Linked DNA regions of Stegostoma tigrinum. The protein of the gene in region 3 interacts with the protein of the main gene of each other region in a biochemical or structural test. Links are inferred from orthologs where the notes say so. Each region holds a gene or a part of one and is shown on either strand. Other genes may lie near its edges.

Region 1 (7,022 bases), on a different chromosome or scaffold from region 3:
CACTGTCACAGTTGTCTTTATAACTATGCCTTTTAAAGGTTTCGAAATAGGCTTGTGTAATTCAGCATAGGTGGAACGCTGGAGCGTTATTGTAAACCTCGTGGCCCTGACCTTTTCTCAGATTGGCGGCAGCTTCCAGTGTCCTTTGCATAGATGTTTCACAGCTACCGTAGTATTATATTTGTAATGGACTTTGGCTCTTCCCCGCCTCCAGATTATCTGTGAGATTTATTCTGCCTTTTGAAACCTCCAGATGCCAGAACCCTCATAGTTTGCAGACACCGTGCTTTCAGTGAAGCACTGTAACAAGACTGCAGAAAAGTTACTGATAGAGCAGAATTGGGCTTCTGCTGAAGGGCAAACAGGGAGAAGCTGAGTCACAGAAGCTGAATTTGAGCACGGTTGCTGTTGAATCAGTTTTCTTCAGCCACCGAGTCAACAGGGAGCTCCATTTTTTCTTAGCTCCCACAGGCTACTAGAGGGGTAGCAGGCACCACTGGTTGCTGTCAGATGAGCCCTGTTGGGATTGGACATCCAGCAAGGTTCAAGTCGCTGTAATCCTCCCGGACCCTTGGGGTCCTGTATTGTCAGGAGGGACGGGTAGTGGTTTAACCTGAGTTTCACCACCCCTCAGGCGAAGGGACAGGTTGAGGAGGAGAGTCCTTCATGGTAACCCCAGCTGGTGTGGAAATTGAGCCCATGCTGTTGGTGTCACTCTTGGTCAGAACTGGCCGTGCATCCAGTACATGCAGCTTCATGGTGAATAACATGTTGGTAGGCAAAGTGGTAGCCTGGTTGCCAATTGGGTCCATAATGTTCGCTGTGTTAGTTGGCGAAGAGATTAAAGAATTATGAGTGTGTGCAGCTATTAAAGGAGCAATGCTACAATGCATTTCACGTGGACATATCTGTACATGAGTGCTTTTAAAAAAAAGTAATACTCTGACTTACTGGGTGTAAAAGTACTAAGGAGCCACACAACAAGGATCAATGTGAGATTTAGCACTGAATCACTGGGCAACAGAGTGCAGTGTAAGATATGTTCTTTAGGACAACTGGAGCTTGTGTTGTTAGGGTACAGCAAACAGACCCTGGTATGGTGATTGATGGCACACTTTTACTAGCTGCTGTACAAACTCCGTGAACTGCCTTCACTACAGGGGGGTGCCTATGAGAGTGGTTCAGCCTGTTTGATTGGCACGTCACAACCACTGGTGTGTGCATAATGCTGGACATCAGTGTGGTTAAGAGGAAACACAGCTGTATATCGTATCAGGGACCTCCCAGTCAATGTTAAAGCCTGACCCTCTGGCTTCAGTTCTCATTCTTGGGAACATTGTCAGCCTATGTCAAGACAGAACCTCCCAAAGTATGGGTTGAAGGGTCTAGGCCCGAAACGTCAGCTTTTGTGCTCCTGAGATGCTGCTTGGCCTGCTGTGTTCATCCAGCTTCACACTTTATTATCTCCCAAAGTATGGCTTGGGTTTGGTGCCTTTTAAACTCGAGGATCTGTGAGCGTTATCAATAGGAGCAGGGTGTTCGCACAAACCCACAAGCCTTTGCTGCCGTTCAGTTTAGAATATGAAGCTTGAGTTGAGGCAAAGCTTTTTCTACCTTGTTTGCTTGTTCCCAGATTGCTATTGGGTAAGGCCATGAGTAACTTCAGCCTTGACTCTCCTGCTCAGTCCTGTGCCCACAACCTATTGGGAAAGAAGACTTCATATTTTTCTCTACCTTTGTGTGATTCATTTGGACCCCTCCAACTCTAAATTTGAGACTGTGCATCCTTCCTCCAGAGGCAAAAAAAACAAGGAGATAAAATACCTCTCTGTACAAGCTTTCCTTTGCCTTCTTCTCGGGCTGGTATCTAGTTGTTAATGTGCTTCACCCCTGGACTAAGGGGATGGTCGCATCTTCTGTTACTAGCCTTTCCAAAGAGGCATTGCCCTGTCAATTGTTTCATTCCTGCCTCCTGAGACATGGGTTGTATTGGCTGCTGTTATTGTCTGAAAGAATAAAATGACCATTCTGTCATCTGAACCAGACACATTTATTGCCCATCCCCAGTTACTCCATAAAGGCTTAGGACCTACTCTTGCCGCTTCTAGCATCTTGCCTGAATTCAAGATTCTGCACTTGCTGAAAGGCAGTGAGGGCAGGAAAGCACTGAGTACCTGAATATTGTTTGTTAGAGCTTGATCCACCCAATCTAAAGAGGCCTGCCCCAGCAAACATGAACAGTGTAACTGTCTATGATGTTGTCTCTCTGGAATTGTCAATGACAACCATTCCTTTAGTTAATGTTCATCAAAAAAAGTGTTCTCAAGAGTTTTAAGCTGTGCAGCCTCAGTCAAAGTTTTTCTTTGAAAATGAAAGTATTAATTCCTTCCATGTATTACAAGTATAAATTCTTGAAAGGGAAGGACTTTGACCCCCTATCTTCCAATGAATGATAATAATGAGCTCTGATCATCTCTAACTGGTTCTTTTATCTTAAATGAGTGTTCTTTGGTCATGTCAGTGGAATGTTAGGCAGATATTTAATGGAGCCAACTGCAATTTCATCTTCCAGTGAGCTGCAGAGAGGCCTGTGTCACCTCCTTTCAGAAAGACACATCTAATCAGCCTCTTAACTGGAGTGTGGTGGTCCTTGTCCCCAGTCCTCAAGGATGGAAATCCAGCCCCCCAAGGAGAGAACACCCCTTCTAAAACCTGGCACCCAATCAGAGGCCAGAAGCTGTGTATTGCTCAGTGGGGTCGATAAGTAGAGTGGCCACTGTTGGTACTGCAGCCACCTGATATCCAGGGTCACTGAGACTCTCGGGTTCAAAGCTGGGTGATGATGGGATGGGGGCTGTGATGGATGACAGTGGCTCTCAACCTTGATCCTTTCCCAGGGTGGCCCCTCAGTCAGGCCTTTGGATGACAGGATCTACCCCTTGGCCAGCAAGTGATCCTAACAGTGTTTGCTTTGTGTACTCCCTACATGGTGAACACTAACAGTGCAGTGAGGTTCCACGATAGATGTATATTGACTGATGAAGGTCTTCAGTTGACTGTCGAGTATGGGGGGCTGAGTTGAGGGTTCCTGTCCATGGCCCTCCTGCCCCAGACCTAATCGAGGCAGAGGTGGGAATTTGCACACCCAGACCCATGTCTGTTATCATCCTGCCTGATGAAATACCTCCCGAACCCAATGAGCCTAAGTAGGAGAGCATCATGTTTTGTTCACTGTCTCCCCATTTGCTTTACTGAAGCCTTCATAGTTTTGACCATGTTGGTTAAGTGCCTCGCCTTAACTTGCTTTGTTGTAGCGCTACGCCACATACAACCAGACAGCAGCCCTTCACCAGCAGCCCTTCCAACATCAGCCTAACCTGTTCAGGATTTAAATGAAAATGCACATCAGCGAACCCTATTGCGTCGGGTGTTCAGATATGGTGGTAAGAATAGCATTCAGTGCCCAGAAGCAATTGAGACTTTAAACTGTACCAATGGCCCATTCAGAATCTGACAGAAGTTTTTTTCAGTGTGCCTACACACTGGGATTGCTTGATGCAAACATGCTGCAGGAAATGGGAGAGCGTATTTGAGCAGGAAAGCCAAGCAGTGTCGTTTATTTCTCGCTGCTTTGGGGCTCCTTGGTGCACAACTTTCACCATTTGTGGTTCGGCATTTGCAAAGCTTGTCCATTCTTTCTCAGCAGCGGCCTGGCCCTAGGATGGCACTCTGTGCTGGGTGAAGAGCATTAGGAAAGGAGGTTGGTTGGGGCGGGGGGGGAGTACTGTCTTGTTTGGCACTCCTCCGGCAAGTGTCTGTCGCACAGCGAGCTTGATCCGATGATGATGTTGTTCTGATTCCTTCTCTGCCTTTTCAACAGCCCTCAGCCCACGGGAGACCCCATCCCACTGCCTCTCGCCCCCGCCCACCCCCAACCACTGAGCTGCATCTCTTTTCAGACCCAACAAAACCCACCACCCCCACCCCCACCCCTCCCCAGGAACAGCTGCAAAACGGATGGAGACGTTCTTCAAAAGGCACTTCACAAAGGCGCCATCAGGGGTCAGGTTGCCTGGTCGGTGCCGACGGGCAGGTTGGCGCATGGGAGGCCCGGTGCCCGGCAGTAAAGTCAGGCGCCGCTCGAATGCGGGGATGCCCTCGGCGTTGTTGGTGCAGAGGCGCCGGTCCAGCCTGCAGCTGCCGCACTGCCCCCACCACCTCCATGCGCTGGCCAGGAGCAGCGGCCCACGCCGAAGGTCGAGCACCACCGCCCTCCACCTCAACCCCAGGTTCATGGTCCAGCAGAAGCCGGGGAGCAATTTGCGGGCCATTGACAGCCACCTGCTCGGGCCCTCCGTGCTGCTGGCCAGCCTCATTCAGATGAGCGAGGATGAAGAGGGCACAGCCCAGCCAGGCTGCGGGCTGAGGGCCGGCGCTGCTCCCGATGACTCTGACAGCAACTGCTCCTCTTCTGGAGGCTCGGAGTCCTCGTCTGCGGGCAGGAGCCGGAGCGACCAGGAAGCGGGTGTGTGCACTCCCCCGGGGACCCCAGAGGCCCTCCAGCGTTCGACCTGGCGTTACAGGCCCGTCTACACCAAGCCTTTCCTGAGGGCCCCTCGCTGCCTGAGGAGGAACTCCTCTCACCTGGTCCCTGCCGAGTTGGTCCACACAGGGAAAGCGGCCTACGGGCTGCAAGGGAAATACAGGAGACGGACTCAGCGGCGGCGATCAAGCACCATCCCTCTCCCTGGCACACAGCGGAGCTCGGTAGCAGCTTGCATCCCTCCCGGTGAGCCAGAACTGTACCGGGTGGTGTCGGTGGGGAGCAGGAGACCTTCGCTGAACATCAGTCGGCCGTCCCGCGCCCTGCCACCGCGGTGGAGGCACAGCGTCCGCAGAAATTCCCTCCACTTGACCCACAGGAGCCCTGCGGCCAAACATTCCCCAGCGTGGAGCAACTTCCTCTCGTATGTATTCTTGCTGTTGGTATGGGGAGGGTCTGGGCTGGGTGTGTCGAGTTGGAGAGGTGGGGTGGCTTGATGTGGAGGGACCTTCCTCTCGTGCTTGCTCTCCGCTATACCTGTCTCTCTCTCTCTCTCTCTTGCTCTCGCTCTCACTCACTCTCTCGCTCTCACTGTCGCGCTTTCTTTTTCACGCTCACACTCATGCTCACGCTCTCTCTCTTGCTCTCACTGTCGCGCACTCTTTTGCACTCTCGCTGACTCTCATCTTGCTCTCGCTCTCATCTCGCACTCTCTTGCTCTCACCCGCTGTCTCTCATTCTCGCTCTCTCTCTCGCGCGCTCTGTCGCTCTCATTCTCTGCTGGTTACCTTCCAAAACATATACCTGATCCCACCTTGGTGGTATAGCTTGTAGTCCTGTGGGCAAGCAGCTAGCTTTCCTGCATTGAATAGAGGCAGTGCTCCCGTGCACTGTAGTACCCTACAGTGAAGGCATAGAAATCAGGCTCCCTTGAGTTTGAAGTTCCTCCATGACAGGGCTGGAAACAAGACGGTTCTGCTCAACCTGCCTTTGTTGAAAGTGCTACTAATTAATTTCTGCTCTAATATCTAGCACTTGTTATTCAGTTTGTTCCTTTAAATACAGCAGCCAGGGTAGAATAAAGAATACAGATGTTTCCCATTTTCCTTTGGTTTTGCCAGCAGCTGAAATCAAGATTACAGTATCATATGAGCCCAGTATCTGAAGTGATTGTCCTGCAATGTTTCAGTGATGGCTTTGAGTTAGTTTGTATTACGAGCTGGTGCATGCAAGTGAAATTTTCCCCTTTATTCAAAATGGCACATGGCTCACAGAGTGTTGCATGCAGTTAGAAAGTCGTTTGCCGTGAATGATTTAATGCTGTCTCCCAACGCAATAAATAGAAGTGAGGAGATTATAAACTTCCTGCATCCGCTTTCCTCTTTGCTGTTCTGAAGGATAGCAGTTTGGCAGGAAGACCAAACTCTCAGAAGTAAGTAAGTAAGTGGGTGAATTAGAAGGTCAAGTCTCACGGTAAGGTATACGCACATCTTTAACTCAAAGATTGTGAAAGAAATGATGAGCATGGTTGTTGGTGCAATTAAGCATGTCATTTAGTTCACTGTGTGGTAATAATGACGGAAAAGATTCCACACTTTGACATTGTGGAGAAACTTCATGTGAAATGATCAATAAGTAGCAACAGGCTTCCCTTAGACAATGCTGCTGGATGCCTGCAATGTTCTCCCTCAATGGAATGTTTGAGATCCATTAGCCTCACAACCTAGTTCTTTAATTGGTGGACTTGTTCAATCATATGTTGGGCCTGAGAGAGACAAGGAGATTTGATGCCTAGCAGTATATCTAAACTGTCCTCAGGCCAAATATCAATGTGAGAAAGTGATGATCTTTATTTTAACTGTGGATTGATTTTGGTCTCCCCCCAGTTCCCACCAACTCTGCCCACTCTTACATGTTAAAATTAGACTCATTAAATGCTGGGAAGTGTGTCTTGTTTTACAACAAGAAGGTATTTTTCTGCTGTTTTTGCATAGATGTGTATCTCTGGGCAATTTCCTAAAGAATTAAGAATTGATTTCTAGCATATTTCCCTGCTTACACATCTTCCACTACCTTGAATTCACCACTTCTCGTTGAATACCCTTCTCAGAAATTTTTTTCAGTAGACGATTCTGGTTACACAATTAACATAATGTCTGTGGAGAGAGATTCATGTGAGAGTATTTATTAATAGCAGTTCTGTCCGAGTCGGTAAAGGTCTTGGTGTGATTCCGAAGCAGATTGAGCAGGAAGCTACTTACATCACTGTCAGGAAGGAAGCAATCCACAGCTCCCTGAGGCTGATATCTTTTGCGCTGGGGACTTGCAGTGCCAGCTTCTTCGGGGTACGGTGAACATGCTAAAATTCTGAGACTGCGCGCAAGGAATTTCAAACTATCTTACAACTTATATCTTCAAGTTGAAAACACTATTACTTGCCTCCTCTTTTTCGACTTTACAGTATATACACTTTGAACAG
Region 2 (7,122 bases), on a different chromosome or scaffold from region 3:
TAACTGAATTTCCTTATTCAGAGAAAGTAAGAACTGCTGATGCTGGAGTCAGAGATAACACAGTGTGGAGCTGAAGGAACACAGCTGGCCAGGCAGCATCAGAGGAGTAGGAAATCTGAACAAGGGTCCTGACCCAAACCTTTCCTGTCCATCAGATGCTGCCTGGCCTGCTGTGTCCTTCCAGCTCCACACTGTTATTTCTAAATTTCCTTATTTTTGTTTTCATGCTAGGAAACCTCCACACTACTCTGCAGGGCCTTAACAACTTTTTTAATTGTGGTGCCCAGTATTGTCCACTTGAAATGAAATTCAGTTAATGATTTGTAAAAATCCTGTGTTAATTTCATGCTTTTGTATTTAATGTCCCTGTTTCTAAGTGAGCTATACTAAGAATATACTTAACTACCTTATCAATCTTAATGTTGTCTTTAAATATTTGCTTATATGTATCCCAAATCCTTCTGATCCTGTATTCCTTTCAAAATAGTACCATCTGGATTACACTGCTGCTTCATGTTGCGTTTTTGCCAAAACGTTCACATTAAATTGCTTTTGCCATGTGTTTGCCTATTTATCTTCATTTTGTTTGTTCATCTGATGCGGGTATCATTGGATGAAAGTCAACCACATTGTTGTAGGTCTGAAGTCATATATAAGCCAGACCAGGTAAAGACGTCATTGTTTCCTTCCCTAGAGGACACTAGTGAAAGAGATAAGCTCTACTGCCAATGTTTCATGGCCATTATCCAGATTCTTAAAATGATTTAATTCTACATCCCCTGAACATTACGTGGCTCTCTGGATTACTAGCCTAGTGATAATACCATGACTCCATTGCTTTCCCCTCTGCACTTGTCAAGTCTGATGCTATTTTGCATATTATTTACTATAAGGTTGTAAGTTTGCTTGCCGAGCTGGTGGGTTTGGTTGCAAACATTTCATCACCCTACTAGGTAACATCAACAGTGTGCCTCCGGTGAGGCATTGATGTTCTGTTCCACTTGTTATTTATATGCCTCAGTTTTTTGGTGTGCTTGGTACTACTTCTGGTTCTGTTTCTCAGTGGTTTGTACACAGGTTCTAATTCAATGTGTTTGTTGATGGATTTCCGGTTAGAATATCAGGCCTCCAGGAATTCCCTCGCGTGTCTCTGTTTGACTTGTGCGATTTTGGATGTGTTGTCCTAGCTGACTTTGTGTCCCTCATTGTCTGTATGCAGTTTTGTATCAGTTGTTTAAGTTTTCGTGAATCAATTTTGTAAGTTTTCTTCCAGTTTGGCCTATGTAGCATTTCTAACCGACGTTGCATGGTATTTTGTATATTACACAGGTTTTACTGGTTTTGGGTATGGGATCCTTTATATTTGTCAGTAACTGTCATAGGGTTGGTTGTTGGTTTGTGGGCTACACTGATACCTAGAGGTCTGAGTAGTTGTAAGGTCATCTCTGAAATGTCCTTGATGTTGGGTAGGGTGATAAGTGAGTCTGGTCATGTTGTGGTCTGTCACAGAGGTAACAGCAGATTATGCTATTTGGGTATCCTTTCCTTGTGAAGACTCCATATAGGTGCATTTTTAAAAACTCTGGATAATGGCTTTGCAAATTATTTACTGTCTTGTCATGTTGAAACTGTAATCCGTTTACTTAAAACTAACATGTTTATATTCAAAAATGAGGGACAGTTTTGACTCTCAAGGGACTACCTATTTCTCTCCAGTCAGAAAACCATCTGATAACAATTAATTTCAGCCTTCTGTTCCTGAGTTACCCACCCAAGCTACCACCATCCTTTTAGTTCTAGAGCTTCTATTTTTAAGTACATCTGTAATGTACTTTATCAAATGTATTTTGTCAAAAGTCCACACGTAAATATAGAGATACAGATGGCAATCTCTGCTGTCTTCATTAAACATATCCGTTATTTCAAATAACTCAATTACATTTGTCAGGCACAATTCACCTTTACACATTTATGCTGGATGTTATTTCTAAGTGAGAATTAATTTTGACCTTGACAAAGGCGTCCAGTAATTTTTCCATCTTCAACCTTAGCCTCATTGACCTGTTGTTACCAGGTTTATCTCGCCCCATCTCTGAGCTTTTTTTGATCAAAGATGTAACATTTGCAAATCTTTAGTCATCTGGTATCCCCTCACATGCACAGAGGACTGAAAGATTGTGGTCAGAGCTTCCTTTATCCTAGCTTTCCTTGATAATTTAGGATGTATTCCAATTTACAGTTTCCCAGTTAACCTTTGTTTCCTTTGTCATGCAGAGAGTTGCATCCTTCCTCTCAATGAGAGGAAGGTTTAGTTTTTACCTCAGGTATTTCACATCTACCTTGCTCATTTCTCATTTTCTTGGACAAACTTTGTTCTAGTCTGCATGTGCTGAATGAATGTTTTCTCAAGTCAATAAAATTGGTTTTCCTCCAGCTGTTTACTTCTTTTTATTTTTATTTTGCACTCTCTTTAAATCTAATTAGATTATGGTTACTACCAAGATGTTCTCCCAGTAACGCTCCATTTGTCTTATCTTATTCATTGAGCTAAAACTAACAGGGTCCTCCTCACTTTGTGATAAATGTTTAAGAGGTGTCCTTTTAGGAATTCTTCACATGCCATACTTATTTTCTCAATGAATTATATGGTATTTTTGTAATAAACATTCTAGGATGAGAAAAAAAATCACTCTTTTAAAATAACTTAGCCCAACGGGAGCAACACCACTCTACACAAAGAATGAGACAATTGAGGAATAACTTATTGGGTCCTAATAAGCCTGATCATTGGTAACTAAAATTTCCCTGGGCACTACACTGCAGCAGAAGGTAAAGTCACTGTAGTCACTGCTCTCTCACTATGGAGATCACTGGCAGTGGTTTAACCCGAGTCAGCATGCAAGGGGAGAGGTTGAGAAAGAGAGTCTTTCATGGTAACCTCAGCAGATGCAGGAATCGAACACACTCTGTTGGTATTACTGTGTACTGCAAACCAGAACTGACCTAACTGATCCAGCACTGGAAATAAATTGAAGAAGGGTCATTGGACTGAAAAGTTAACACTGCTTTCGCTCCACAGATGCCACCGAATATGCTGAACTTTTCCAGCAATTTCTGCTTTTGTTTCAGATTTCCAGTACCCGCAGGTTTTTTTGGGACAAAATATTTGTTGAACTCCTCCATGTGAGGTCACAGTTAGAGACCACTCCAATGGATGACATTCAGCTAAGATAGACAAAAAGAACCGTCAGTTCCTAAGAGTTCTGCAGCACATTTACAATAATTTTATCGCGACCGTCAAGCTCTTGATAACCCCGTGAAAAACCGAAAAAAATGCGGATGCTGTAAATCAGGACAAAGTTGCTGGAAAAGCTCAGCAGGTGTGATGGAAAAGCCGGAGTTACCTTTTCTGGTGACCCTTCCTCAACCCCCATCTAGATTGAAACCCCAGTCAGGTACCACTGTACCATTTCCTTCTGCTGTGCGTATATGACATTTGATACAGTGTGCCCTCTCCCGTTTGTAGCTGTTTCATACACTATCCAACCAACCACAACCCGAGCCACAAATCTACTCTAAAGTCTTAGACTATCCTTAAACTCATTTGAAACTGCTTGCTCTTCCAATACTGAGTGTGAAGCACAACCTCTCTATGGCTTTGTGGGGAAAAGGTTCTGCTTCTTGGCAAAGTTTTTATTAACAGCACCCCAAATGTTGCTTTGTGTTTTTAGATGGAAACAGGTGTGTCACTATTGAGCTGATTCGAAGGTCCTTGTTTGGATCAGAGAAGGTAGTTTGTGAATGTGGTCTTTGGTATCACTACCGAGACGTGCAAATATTTCCCCAGACAGGATGGAGAGCTGGGTTAGCGGCTCTCGTTGTCCTTTAGGACGTGTTAACCGCAGCGACATTAAAGACGTCCGAAAACACGTGATCACAAGAACCATGAGCTTTAAAAATGTTTGCTCTCGGTGAGAAGCATAAGGAGCGAATGTGATTGTTTGGGATTCGAGAGAAACGAGCGGTGAAGTGAAAGCGCGTTCTCGATGACTAATTTCCTGTGGCGATCGCGGCTATAAAGCTGGGAGATGTGCGGAGCTGCCGAGCAGAGCAGCAGTTCGGGGGTGGGCGTCTTTTCGGACTAATGTGCGGGATTGATCAGAATGTCAGAGAGGAAGATTTCATCCGAATCGTTCAGCTCCACCGGCTCGGATTACCCGGAGAGTCCTGAGGACGGGGGATGTCCGTTTTCACGGGTGTTCAATGGGAAGCGCTCAGTTTCAGGGGCTGGCAGCAGGAACGCTGCTCGCAGGCGCGTTAACCTGGACTGTTTGGGAGAGAGCATCTGGAAACTTGTCTTTCCAACGGTAAAGAAACCAGAAATGCGCACACCCCCTTTCTCATTCTTCTCGCTTCACGCCCCGTTGAGTCCCTCTTTCTACGGCGTTTTCATTCCCTTCACATTCATACCCACTCACTCACCCCTGTGCATTAAATCATCACACATAGTTCTGAGCATTGGCGCTTCAATGGGATTCATGTTAAGTATTGTCTCCTGTCCCCGTCGATCATTGTTAATCGTGTGACTATGTTGGTGAAAAGTTCTAGGACGTTTTATTAGTGACCATTTGGAGCTGCTACATTTCAGGTCTGCGTTCTCACCCGTATTAAACATTAAAGTCCGTGTTTTGATTTTACAAATAACGACAGCGTGGAATGCTTAAAGAGGCTTCCAAACTTCTGTCGCCTAGCGAATGAATTCACGTGTACAATTAACACCATCAGTAATAAATCATCTTAAAAATACATCTCAATGCGTTCTGGGGGTGAGGGGGGGGGGGATCCCACGGATGTTCAAATCCTTTCTGTGGAAAGAGAAAGAATTGCAATCCATTCACCTTTTAAATTTTAGGTGCGTTGATATGGCGAATTGTTTGAAAGGGCCATCCAACTTTTTCTTAGCAACGTGACACCTTCGCAAACGTTGGTTAAGAGCTCGCCGCTCCGGCGATCACTCCGAAAGGCGATGTTCCTGCCTAACGTGATGGCGCTAATTCGAACCCATTAATTATTGTCTGGCGATTGCTTTCATGTTCGAGAATGCCGTTCTTTTCATTTCCCTCACTGGTGCACTGCTGTTACTAATGGAAATCATCAAAAGGGGAAAAAATCTTAATATTCTCAGCGAAATATGACTAACAGTCCTCACGACTTTTAGATCGCCGTATTTGCTGCGTAGTTGGCGCACCATTCCATCACAAATGGATGGTTTATTCATTTCTAAATTTGATTTTTGTATTTCCTTATTGCCATCTTTTATTATTGAAAGGAAAATGAAATAGATACGTTTTAAATGCAACTTGCACTTCTGGATCGTACCATGATACAACTACAACATTTAAAAGGCTTCTGGATGGCTATATGAGTAGGACTGGTTTAGAGGGATATGGGCCGAATGTTGGCAAATTTGACTTAAGTCCGATTGGGATGTCTGGTCTGTGCGTATGAGTTGGACTTGTCTGTTATGACTGTATAAATTTTTCGTATTTCATCTCATTGTTTTGACTGTTGATCATCGTCCACAAACAAGTTAATATGATTTGTATTGTAGGCAGATTTTGAAGTACTTAAAATTAAATGTATTTGTTACAATTTTTATTCAAATTTTCTAATCTTTTCTTTTAATTGCAAACATCAAACATTCAAAGGCTAGTATGCATCCTTTGGAGTTTAAGAAGTTGTGTTTTTGAAATTGAGATCTGATATCCCGAAAGAAACAAACTCAGTGGGCTGGAAATCTGAAATCAAAATAGAAAATGCTGCAAATACTCAACAAGTCAGGCAACATCTGTGGAACGAAATGAGTTAATGATTTGGATTTTGTGGGGTGTATTTCCCACCCATCTGACTGAAAATGTAAATCAGTATCCTGCCCTCGGTACGGGAATTACAACACTGGGAGCAGCTTCTTGTTTCAGAGTAGAACTTCCATCTCAATCTGGATGGAAGTCCTGTCCCAGAGAGCAATTGGCCAAACTGAGAGGGATGGAGAGCCACTATTTCATGTGCAGTGGCAGAGGACAGGCAATTAGCTGAGTTACAATCACTGTGCTGATTATACTCGGATGGAGGAGATAGAGCCAGAAATCCCAGGGCCATTGAATGTACTGTTTCCAAAATACAATATCCTTTTTAATCCACACCCTAGCTCAGTCATTCAGATAGGTAATGACCTGGTATGAAATTAAGGTTGATGGTATCTGTTGCTGTTAAAAAAAAAATCCTGCATTTATTTACACTTTTCATGACTGCAGAAGTTCCTAAATCACTGAGTACAATAAATTTCTTTCGATCTGTTAGGCACTGTTTGCTGTTCTCTTAATATCTTTTTGAAAAACAGCCCCTACAACAATACAGACATTTCTGGAGAATGTGCTGCAATGTCAGCAGTGCCTTTCTGCTAATATCTTTGGGAATAGGATTTGAACCCTCAGCCTGTGACCTAGGAGTGAGGATGTTAAGGTGCTCAACTATGGATGTCGCAGAGTGTGCTGCAGCTGCTCTTTTAATTCCTCAAATTTCCTTCAGGCCAAATGTGTGGCCCTGGGTATTCGCACTTGTCTCTTTGCGAGGTACATGGAACGTTCCTTATTCCAATCCTCACCCACAATTCTTTCTCTGGGACATTAATGATATCATGGGTGCTCCTTCCCTCTCTCATCCAGAATTGAAAAATTTCATTTTGGTTTCATTTCCAATTTCCATCCTGTTCTCACCTTTACTTGGTCCATCTTTGACTCCTCCCTACCGTCCCCTGACATCTCCAATTCCATTTCTGGCGATAGACCGGCCACCAATATCCACTACAAAAAAACTGACTCTCAAAGTTACCTTGACTATTCATTCTCACACGCTGCTCCTGTAAAGACTCAATTATATTTTCTAATTCCCCTGTCTCCATCTTAAAAGTTCCGATGATGCCAACTTCAATAAGGCAATCTCCAAAATGTCCACTTTCTTCCTCGGCTGAGCATCCCCAGCACTGTAGTTGATAGGGCCCTCAACTGAGTCCGACCCATATCCTGCACTTCAGCCCTCATCTCCTCTCTTCCCTGCCAAAAC
Region 3 (7,709 bases):
CATATTGGTGTGGCCCCTCTCCTGAGTACTGTGTGCAATCCTATTTTCCCTATTATAGGAAGGATATTATTAAACTGGAGAGAGATCAGAAACTATTTACCAGGATGTTGCAGGAATGGAGTGTTTGAGATATAAAAATAGACTGGAATTACTGGGACTTTTTTGACTGGAGCATAGGAGGTCAAGGTTGACCTTACTGAAGTTTATAAAAACATAGATAAGGTGAATGACAAGTGTCTTTCCCCTGGGGGGCAGGGGGAGTTCAAAACTAGGGGGTGTATTTTTAAGGTGAGAGGAGAAAGATTTGAGAAGAACACGAGGCAATTTTTTTACACAGAGTGGTTCATATGTGGAATGAACTACCAGAGAAAGTGGTGGATGTGGGTACAGTAACAACTTTTAAAAGACATTTGGATAAATTCATGATTAGAAAGGGTTTGGAGGGATTTGGGACATGCACTGGCAGGTGGGACTAGTTTAGTTTGCGAACATGGTCAATGTGGACAAGTTGGACCAAAGCTTCTGTTTTAGTGCTGCGTGATTCTGTGACTCTAAGTACTAGATGACTAAAAGAGAAAACACCTACTTCAGTACTAGAAATGACAAGATGAAAAAAAGTGCCAAATCAAAATTTAGTCCAAAAACGGAAAAATTTGAACTTTTCCAAGACAGTTGGCTAGAGTAGGGTTTGCATTTAGAATTAAAGTGACTGGTAACAGACACCTCAAAATCATTTGAATGGACTGAATTGAAATGTTTATGATCTGCATTCAGTTTCCCTATTGTAGAAGAAGCCATAATGTCTGTTGCCAATTAACCACTGTAAACCAATCATCTAGTTCTCTCAGTAGTGACTGTTGTCATGGAGAAAACACAGCAGCCAGTTTCCCTGGGTGGTCACGCCAGAGATTTTGGGCGTTGCCTGGGTGCTTGGGCCAGTAGGTGGTTTGAGGATGTGCACTCAGTGAGTGTGGGTAGTCAGGTCAGGGTGTTGTTGGGACAAGGTAGTTAATCCTGGGGTGGGCAGTCAGGTCATGGGCTGGGTAAATGGATGAGGGTCGGTCAGCTAAGTTGGCTGGACAGGTGCAGAGTAACACCAATGGCATGGGTCAACTCTTGTACTGGCTGAAGGTTACCAATGAAGGACTCTTCTCTCAACCTCTCCCCTTTCCCGAGGTGTGGTAACTCTCAGGTTAAAGTCCTATGCTTCAGTGGGATTATGGAGACTTCACCTTTACCTAGAGATACTGAGAATTCAGGATCTGTAATCGGGTCATTTGAGAGCTAGGAATGGTAATAAGGCCGATGAAATAGGTTGTAAGGACAAGAAATTGGGCAGTGGTAATCGGGCCAAGAGTGGGTAGTCAAATCAGGAAGGGGTGGGGGGATGGTATGTGAGTTGAGGGGTAGTTTGTCAGATCAATGTGAGTGTTGAGGATGGGTAATCAGGGATTATGGGAGAGTGTGGTGAGTGTTGACCAGTCAGATTAGTGAAGGTGGGTACTCAGGTTTCGGAGGGTCTAGTGATGTACTGGGTCAGTGATATTAGGGTTTGTGCAGCTGGGATAGAGGTGGCCAGGTTAAGAACCTCAGTATTGAAGTCAGTGGGGTTTTTTTTAATATTCATTCATGGGATTTGGATATCACTAGCTCAGCCAGCATTCATTGCCCATCCCTGATTGCCCAGATGACAGTTAACTGCATTGCTGTAAGTCTGGAGTCACATGTAGGCCACACCAGGTAAGGATGCAGTTTCCTTCCCTAAAAACATTAGCAAACTAGATGGGTCTTTCTGGGCAATAGATAATGGATTCATGGTCATCGTTAGACTTTTAATTCCAGATTTATAATGAATTTAAATTCCAACATCTGTAGTGGCAGGATTTGAATCCAGGTCCCTGTGCATTAAAAAATGTGTTTCTGGAGGCTGTCACTTCCCCTCATATGCGTAAGAGGGTGGTCACGTTAGGTGAGGTGTTTGGGCAGTTTTGGTCCAGGGAAGTGAATGGGTCTGTGGGATGGGAAGTTAGGTGTGGGGGTTGTGATTAGTGGTGTGGGGTTCTGTGTAGGAGGTTTGGGACGAATTGGGTTACATTGTTTGTGACTTGATAACAATTGTAGGGAAAGTATCCAGGTAAGTCCCACGTATCTACCCAAAGTTTCCAACACTGACTTCAGTTTAAGGTGGAGTGTCTGACCAGCAGGTATGTGCCTATTGGGAATTTAAACTCGCTGTAACTTCCCGTCATGATTTCCGCTGGGTCCTAAAGTGGAACAGCAATGATGCCTCAGCATTCACCAACGTTGGTATTGGAAAGTCTGATCAATTCAAGGTGGTCAGCAGGATGAGGGGGGTGAAGAGACAAGTGCAGTGGCTTTTGTCGATGTTTGTCCCAAGCAGCTCCATGACACAGGGCACTGTGCTCTATGGTCTGAGACCAACATCAATGCCACCTAGAGGACCAGCAACTTGGTGAAAGATGTTCTTGTCTGTCAGAAACTTGTTAGTCTTCCAGTGCAAGAAATTGTCCCTGACCGAGTGTTGCAGGCTGGAACATCCCAAGGTCCAGGGCTATGTGCTGAGGGATGCGCTAAAGCTTGGGGCAATGGGGAAAAGGCCACTGTCTAAGGTCTTTCTGCGTAAGTACAGTGTGGGTCTGTTCAGCTGTCAGGCCCTCTTGTTGCCTCAGATGTATGTAAATACGATCCTGCAGAAATAAGAAATGCCTCTAGGTTTTGCAAATGCAGAGAATATCAGGTTCCAATGTTTGGTTTTCTTGATATGCAAAGACTATACAGAATTGTTTTTTTGGCTTGAAGACAAGGTTTATTTTTAATTAACTATTTTGTGCGTGTGTGTTTCTGATTAGGTGCATCATTATCCCCTACCTCTCCCTTTTGTCCAGCTTTGATGAAAAGTTGAAACAGCCTGTACACAACACACATTGTGTGGCCAATACTTTGATCCTCGTGAAATTGTATTTTGGATTACTGAAGAAGTGAAACAGCTTTTATAATTAGAGAAATCTATTCCGCCCAAAATTATGTACATAAAGGGTTTTTTTTGTGAATAAAGTTACCCTGTTATAGGAAAAACATAGTTAAAGCGGAAAGCATGCAAAGAAGATTTATGAGGATGTTACGAGGACCAGTAGGCCTGAGTTATAGGGTGAGGTTGGCCAAAATAGGACCTTATATCTTGGAATGTAGGAGAGAGCGGGGTGACCTTATTGCGGTGTATAAAATATTGAGGGGCACAGATAAGATGAATGCATCTGGTCTTTTCCCCAGCATAGCTTTAAGCATAGGTTTAAAGTGAGAGAGAAACGTTTTAAGGACCTAAGGGGTAACTTCTTCATGCAGACAGTGGTACGTATATGGAATGGGCTGCCCAAGAAGATGGCTGTGGCAGATACAATAGCAATATTTAAAAATAACATTTGGATAGGTGCATGGATGGGAAGGGTTTAGAGGGATATGGATAATATGCAGGCAATTGGAAGTAGCTGAGGGGGCACCATGGACCACTTTGAGCCGTAGGGTCTGTTGTCATGCTCTATCACTCGAAGCATATTCTTGCATTAAAAATAAACCCTGTCCGTATCACGATCAGAGATAATGGGAACTGCAGATGCTGGAGAATCCAAGATAACAAAGTGTGAAGCTGGATGTACACAGCAGGCCAAGCAGCATCTCAGGAGCACAAAATCTGACGTTTCGGGACTAGACCCTTCATCCGGAAGGATCTAGGCCCGAAACGTCAGCTTTTGTGCTCCTGAGATGCTGCTTCGCCTCCTGTGTACATCCAGCTTCACACTTTGTTACCCTGTGGGTATCGTGTAAGGCGCATTCTCTCTTAAAGCCACATGGTGTCGTAGTTCTCTGTAGAAACTAACATTAGACAAAAAACAGGTTCCCGCTCAGTTAAGGAATTTCTCCTTGTTTGCTATGTGTGCAATTATAAATTGTGGTAGTTGGTAGGGGTGTGTGACCCTTCCTGTCAAACAACTCTGCTTTTCCTGGGACTCTGGTTCTTTAATAATCTTGGCTTCGGATTCCCTTTACCAAACAGAACAGCACATTGTGCAGGAACAAACCTTGTTTTTATAATCATTTGTGCGTACCTTATGGCGTCCCGGTTCTCGTGTATTCCTCGTTTCATCAGAGGAACAGCATTTGCTCAAGGTATAATGAGGTTCCCTGCTCTTTTATGGTTGGGGCTGTGAGTGGAATCTGGGGCAGGTCTGACAGGATTAAGTTTTTCGGCTTGAAGACAGGGATTTTTAAATTAAAGTGCTAAACTATGATTTGTGCGTGTGTGTTTCTGATTAGGTGCATCATTACCTCTCCCTTTAGCCCGTTTTGATGAAAAGTTGAAACAGCCTGTACACGACAGGCATTGTGTGGCCAATACTTTTGGATCCTGGTGAAATTGTATTTTGGATTATCGAAGGAGTGAAACAGCTCTTATCGTTAGAGAAATCTATTCTCCCCAAAATCTCTCTCACGCTCAAAGCAGGAGGTGAAGCCAACTATTAAAGCCTGGGATTTCCCGGGTCAATTTCAATTTGAAATTTACACCTGACGGCCCACACCTTTAAACCAGTGACTGGTTCATTTATTCTGCACAAGACAATGTAACTTTTAGCGCGATGTAGTTACACTCCACGCCTCCCAGTTCCAACACACACCCTCTATAGTTCACATCAGAAAGTGGGTGGAGATTTTTTTGTTGTCTAACTTGTCCATCTCAAACAGGAACCGAGCTTAAGAATTTCTTGGCACTAAACGAAGTGGAGGGAGGGAGAGAGAAACAGGAATTCCAATCTCCCCTTAAGGGCTACAGCCATTCGGAGCTTTATCAACTTCTGGACCGAGTGGCATTTTAAGAATGCGACAAAGATGGCGTTAGCCGGCAGAGTACAGAGAAGTGGACTGTTAGAAGTTTTGGTCAGGGACAGCTGGCATCGTGTGCTGGCCACCCTGAATCAGGAGAATCTGATCCTGAGCTGTGAGCAGCCTGGGCACACTGCTTCCTGGAATGGACTCACCAACGGAGCGGGCTCACAAAGTCCCCAAGCCGCCTCCCGCAGCCCCAAATCCACGGCCGTACGCAACGCCTTCACCGAACTACCTGAACACATCCCCGAAACTATCAGCAACAAGAAACGGAGCGTTAGGGTCATCAAGGTACTTCCAGTTGCCTCCTGAGAGAATGGGAAGTCTGTCGTCTCCTTCCCCACCCCCCCCTTTTTTTTGCTGTTTGAGTTAATGTATTTTCAGTGATGCTTTTGTTTTGCTTTGTACTTTTGATTGTAAATCAGTTGCACGTTTTAAATTCCATTTGCAGAAAGTTGGCAGTGTTTTCTTGCAGTGACATTTGACATGGGATGGCACTCTGTTTTGCTAATTCCATACGTGTCCCATTCCCAGTCAACAGCAAAACTGCACAATCTCAACGTGCCACAGTTTCATTAGTTGGTCACTTTGACCTTTTTGGTTACATTCGACCTTTCCCAAAAAGGGAGAGGAGAAATGTTTTCGATTTAACGTCAGGATTAGCCCACGCTTGTGTCTGAATCAGTCTCTTGTGACCAAGGTGGGGATTAGATGTTTTGAGCCGTGAAGGGGTTCCAAAAATTAACTTTTTAAATAAAGAAATGGGCAATGAAAGCAGAGTTTCAGGATTCAGCTCTTTCCGCAACAACTTCTGAGTGTGGCAATAATTTCTGCGTTTGCTGTGATTTTGTTTTTCGTGCTTACCTTTTATTCACCGCTCCGAATTAGTTCGGAGTCTGGATTTTTTTTATCTATATATCACTTTACGAGTTCTGCCATTTTTTTTGTTAAAAGTGCCCAGTCATGATTAATAATCGCTGGGCTTGCAGTAGCGCCGGCGAGAGCTCTACAAGCTGTAATTAACCCATCGAATACCCAAGGCTGGCCCCTTTGCTTGGGAGGTGCACTTGGTTGCAGGCGCCTCCGCATCTGTTTATAAATTAGCTTGCATTCATATAGCGCCTGGAACATCCCAAAGTCACTGGTATCAGCTTTTAAAATAAACCATTGCGATCACTGGCCCAATCAGCTGTGACATTAAAAAAAAATCCACATTTATACGTGACTGGCAATTGCCCTGTGAAGGTGGCAAATAGCTTTGGGGGGCACTTGAGAGTTAATCACAGAGGGCCAGGATTAACTAATAGTTCCAAACCAGGTGAAGGTGGCATTTCTTCCTCTAAAGGGCAGCACAGTGGGTTCAGTGTTTAACACTGCTGCCTCAGCACTGGGGACCTGGATTCGGTTCCACCCTCAGTAACTATCTGTGCAGAGTTTGCACATTCTCCCCATGTCTGTGTGGGTTTCCTCCGGGTGCTCCAGTTTCCTCCCGCGGTCCAAAGAAGTACATGTTAGGTGGATTGGCCCAGTAGTGTCCAGAGATGAGGAGGTCAGGTGCATTAGCCACAGGGAGTGGTAGGGGGCTGGGTCTGGGTGGGATGCTCTTTGGAGAGCTGTTGGACCAAATGGCCTGTTTCCACACTGTAAGGATTCTATGGGATAGTAGTGAATCAACTCAACATCTTCACAGCAATTTTCTTTTTCTTCAAAAATGTACTTTAATCATAAAAAAGTACACATTTAGCCACAACGTAGCATATCAAGGAAACAAAGAAATATTGGAATTTGACTCTATCTAACAAACAAACCAACTCAAACTCTTACTCGAACAAGACAAGACTGTGCGTTTGAAGCACAGAGAGGGTCCGATAACTGAAGGGATCCCGACTTGCCTTCGGCAGAGGACCTCAGACTGTGGCCTTTCCCCACTGTACCTTGGTGACAGCTGCCCCAAGCTTCAGTGTGTCTCTCAGCACAAAGTCCAGCACCTTGGAAGGTGCCAGTCTACAACACTCAATCAGGGTCAACTCCTTGTCCTGGAAGACCAACAAGTTTCTTCCAGATTGCTCACCCCTGCTTTTATTTTCCTGATTTTCTTGCTTTTTTTGTTTAAACTAGGATCTGGACTGATATTCTACTGTTAAGTCTAGGTTACTGAGCATCTAAATACGACCAACTTATTAGTTAGGTGGGAGGTATTAGCATGGTTTTAATGTCACTTGTAATTCAGAACGCCAGGCTAATCGTCTGGGCTAATGGATTCAAATCCAACCATGGCAAATGGTGAAAGTAAATTAGGGGAGGTGACGATCTAGTGGTAATGTGGCTGGACTGCTTTATCCAGAGACACAGGTAATGTTCGGGAGACACGGGATTGAATCCTGCTATGGTAGATGGTGGCATTTGAATTTAATAAGAATTGGGAATTAATACTCTAATGATAGCCATGAATCCATCGCCAATTGCCCCGAAAGACCCATGTGGCTCACTTAATGTCCTTTAGGGAAAGAATCTGCCATCCTTGCCTGACATACAAGTGACTCCAGGCCCACAGCAATGTGATTAGCTCTTAACTGCCCTCTGAGCAATTGGAGATGGGCAATAAATGCTGGCCTCACCTGCATTGCACTTGTCATGTGAATGAATAAAACAAACTTGATAGAAACCTACAATAAAAAGCTAAAGACAGCCCCACCTGTCATACTTATCTGCTTTGGCCTATATGTGACTCCGGACCCACAGTAGTGTCTGGGTAACAAGGGATGGGCAATAAATGTTGGCTTAGTCAGCGATGCACAGATGCTGCAAAC

The links.
Region 1: the proteins of sntb1 (region 3) and dgkza form a complex in vitro, tested with the Homo sapiens proteins (2 studies listed by BioGRID and IntAct, with this or other methods). The link is inferred for Stegostoma tigrinum from reciprocal best matches to the Homo sapiens genes SNTB1 and DGKZ.
Region 2: the proteins of sntb1 (region 3) and gucy1a2 interact in a test that uses a peptide from one of them, tested with the Homo sapiens proteins (2 studies listed by IntAct, with this or other methods). The link is inferred for Stegostoma tigrinum from reciprocal best matches to the Homo sapiens genes SNTB1 and GUCY1A2.

What each region holds. Positions count from the first base shown.
Region 1 is NC_081370.1:1,029,720-1,036,741, forward strand, and holds the start of dgkza (diacylglycerol kinase zeta), read left to right. Parts: upstream 1-4,017; coding exon 4,018-4,967; intron 4,968-7,022. UniProt on the Homo sapiens protein: Diacylglycerol kinase that converts diacylglycerol/DAG into phosphatidic acid/phosphatidate/PA and regulates the respective levels of these two bioactive lipids.
Region 2 is NC_081359.1:69,654,574-69,661,695, reverse strand, and holds the start of gucy1a2 (guanylate cyclase soluble subunit alpha-2), read left to right. Parts: upstream 1-4,117; 5' UTR 4,118-4,163; coding exon 4,164-4,367; intron 4,368-7,122. UniProt on the Homo sapiens protein: Has guanylyl cyclase on binding to the beta-1 subunit. Isoform 2 acts as a negative regulator of guanylyl cyclase activity as it forms non-functional heterodimers with the beta subunits.
Region 3 is NC_081358.1:38,257,710-38,265,418, reverse strand, and holds the start of sntb1 (beta-1-syntrophin), read left to right. Parts: upstream 1-4,705; 5' UTR 4,706-4,902; coding exon 4,903-5,190; intron 5,191-7,709. UniProt on the Homo sapiens protein: Adapter protein that binds to and probably organizes the subcellular localization of a variety of membrane proteins. May link various receptors to the actin cytoskeleton and the dystrophin glycoprotein complex.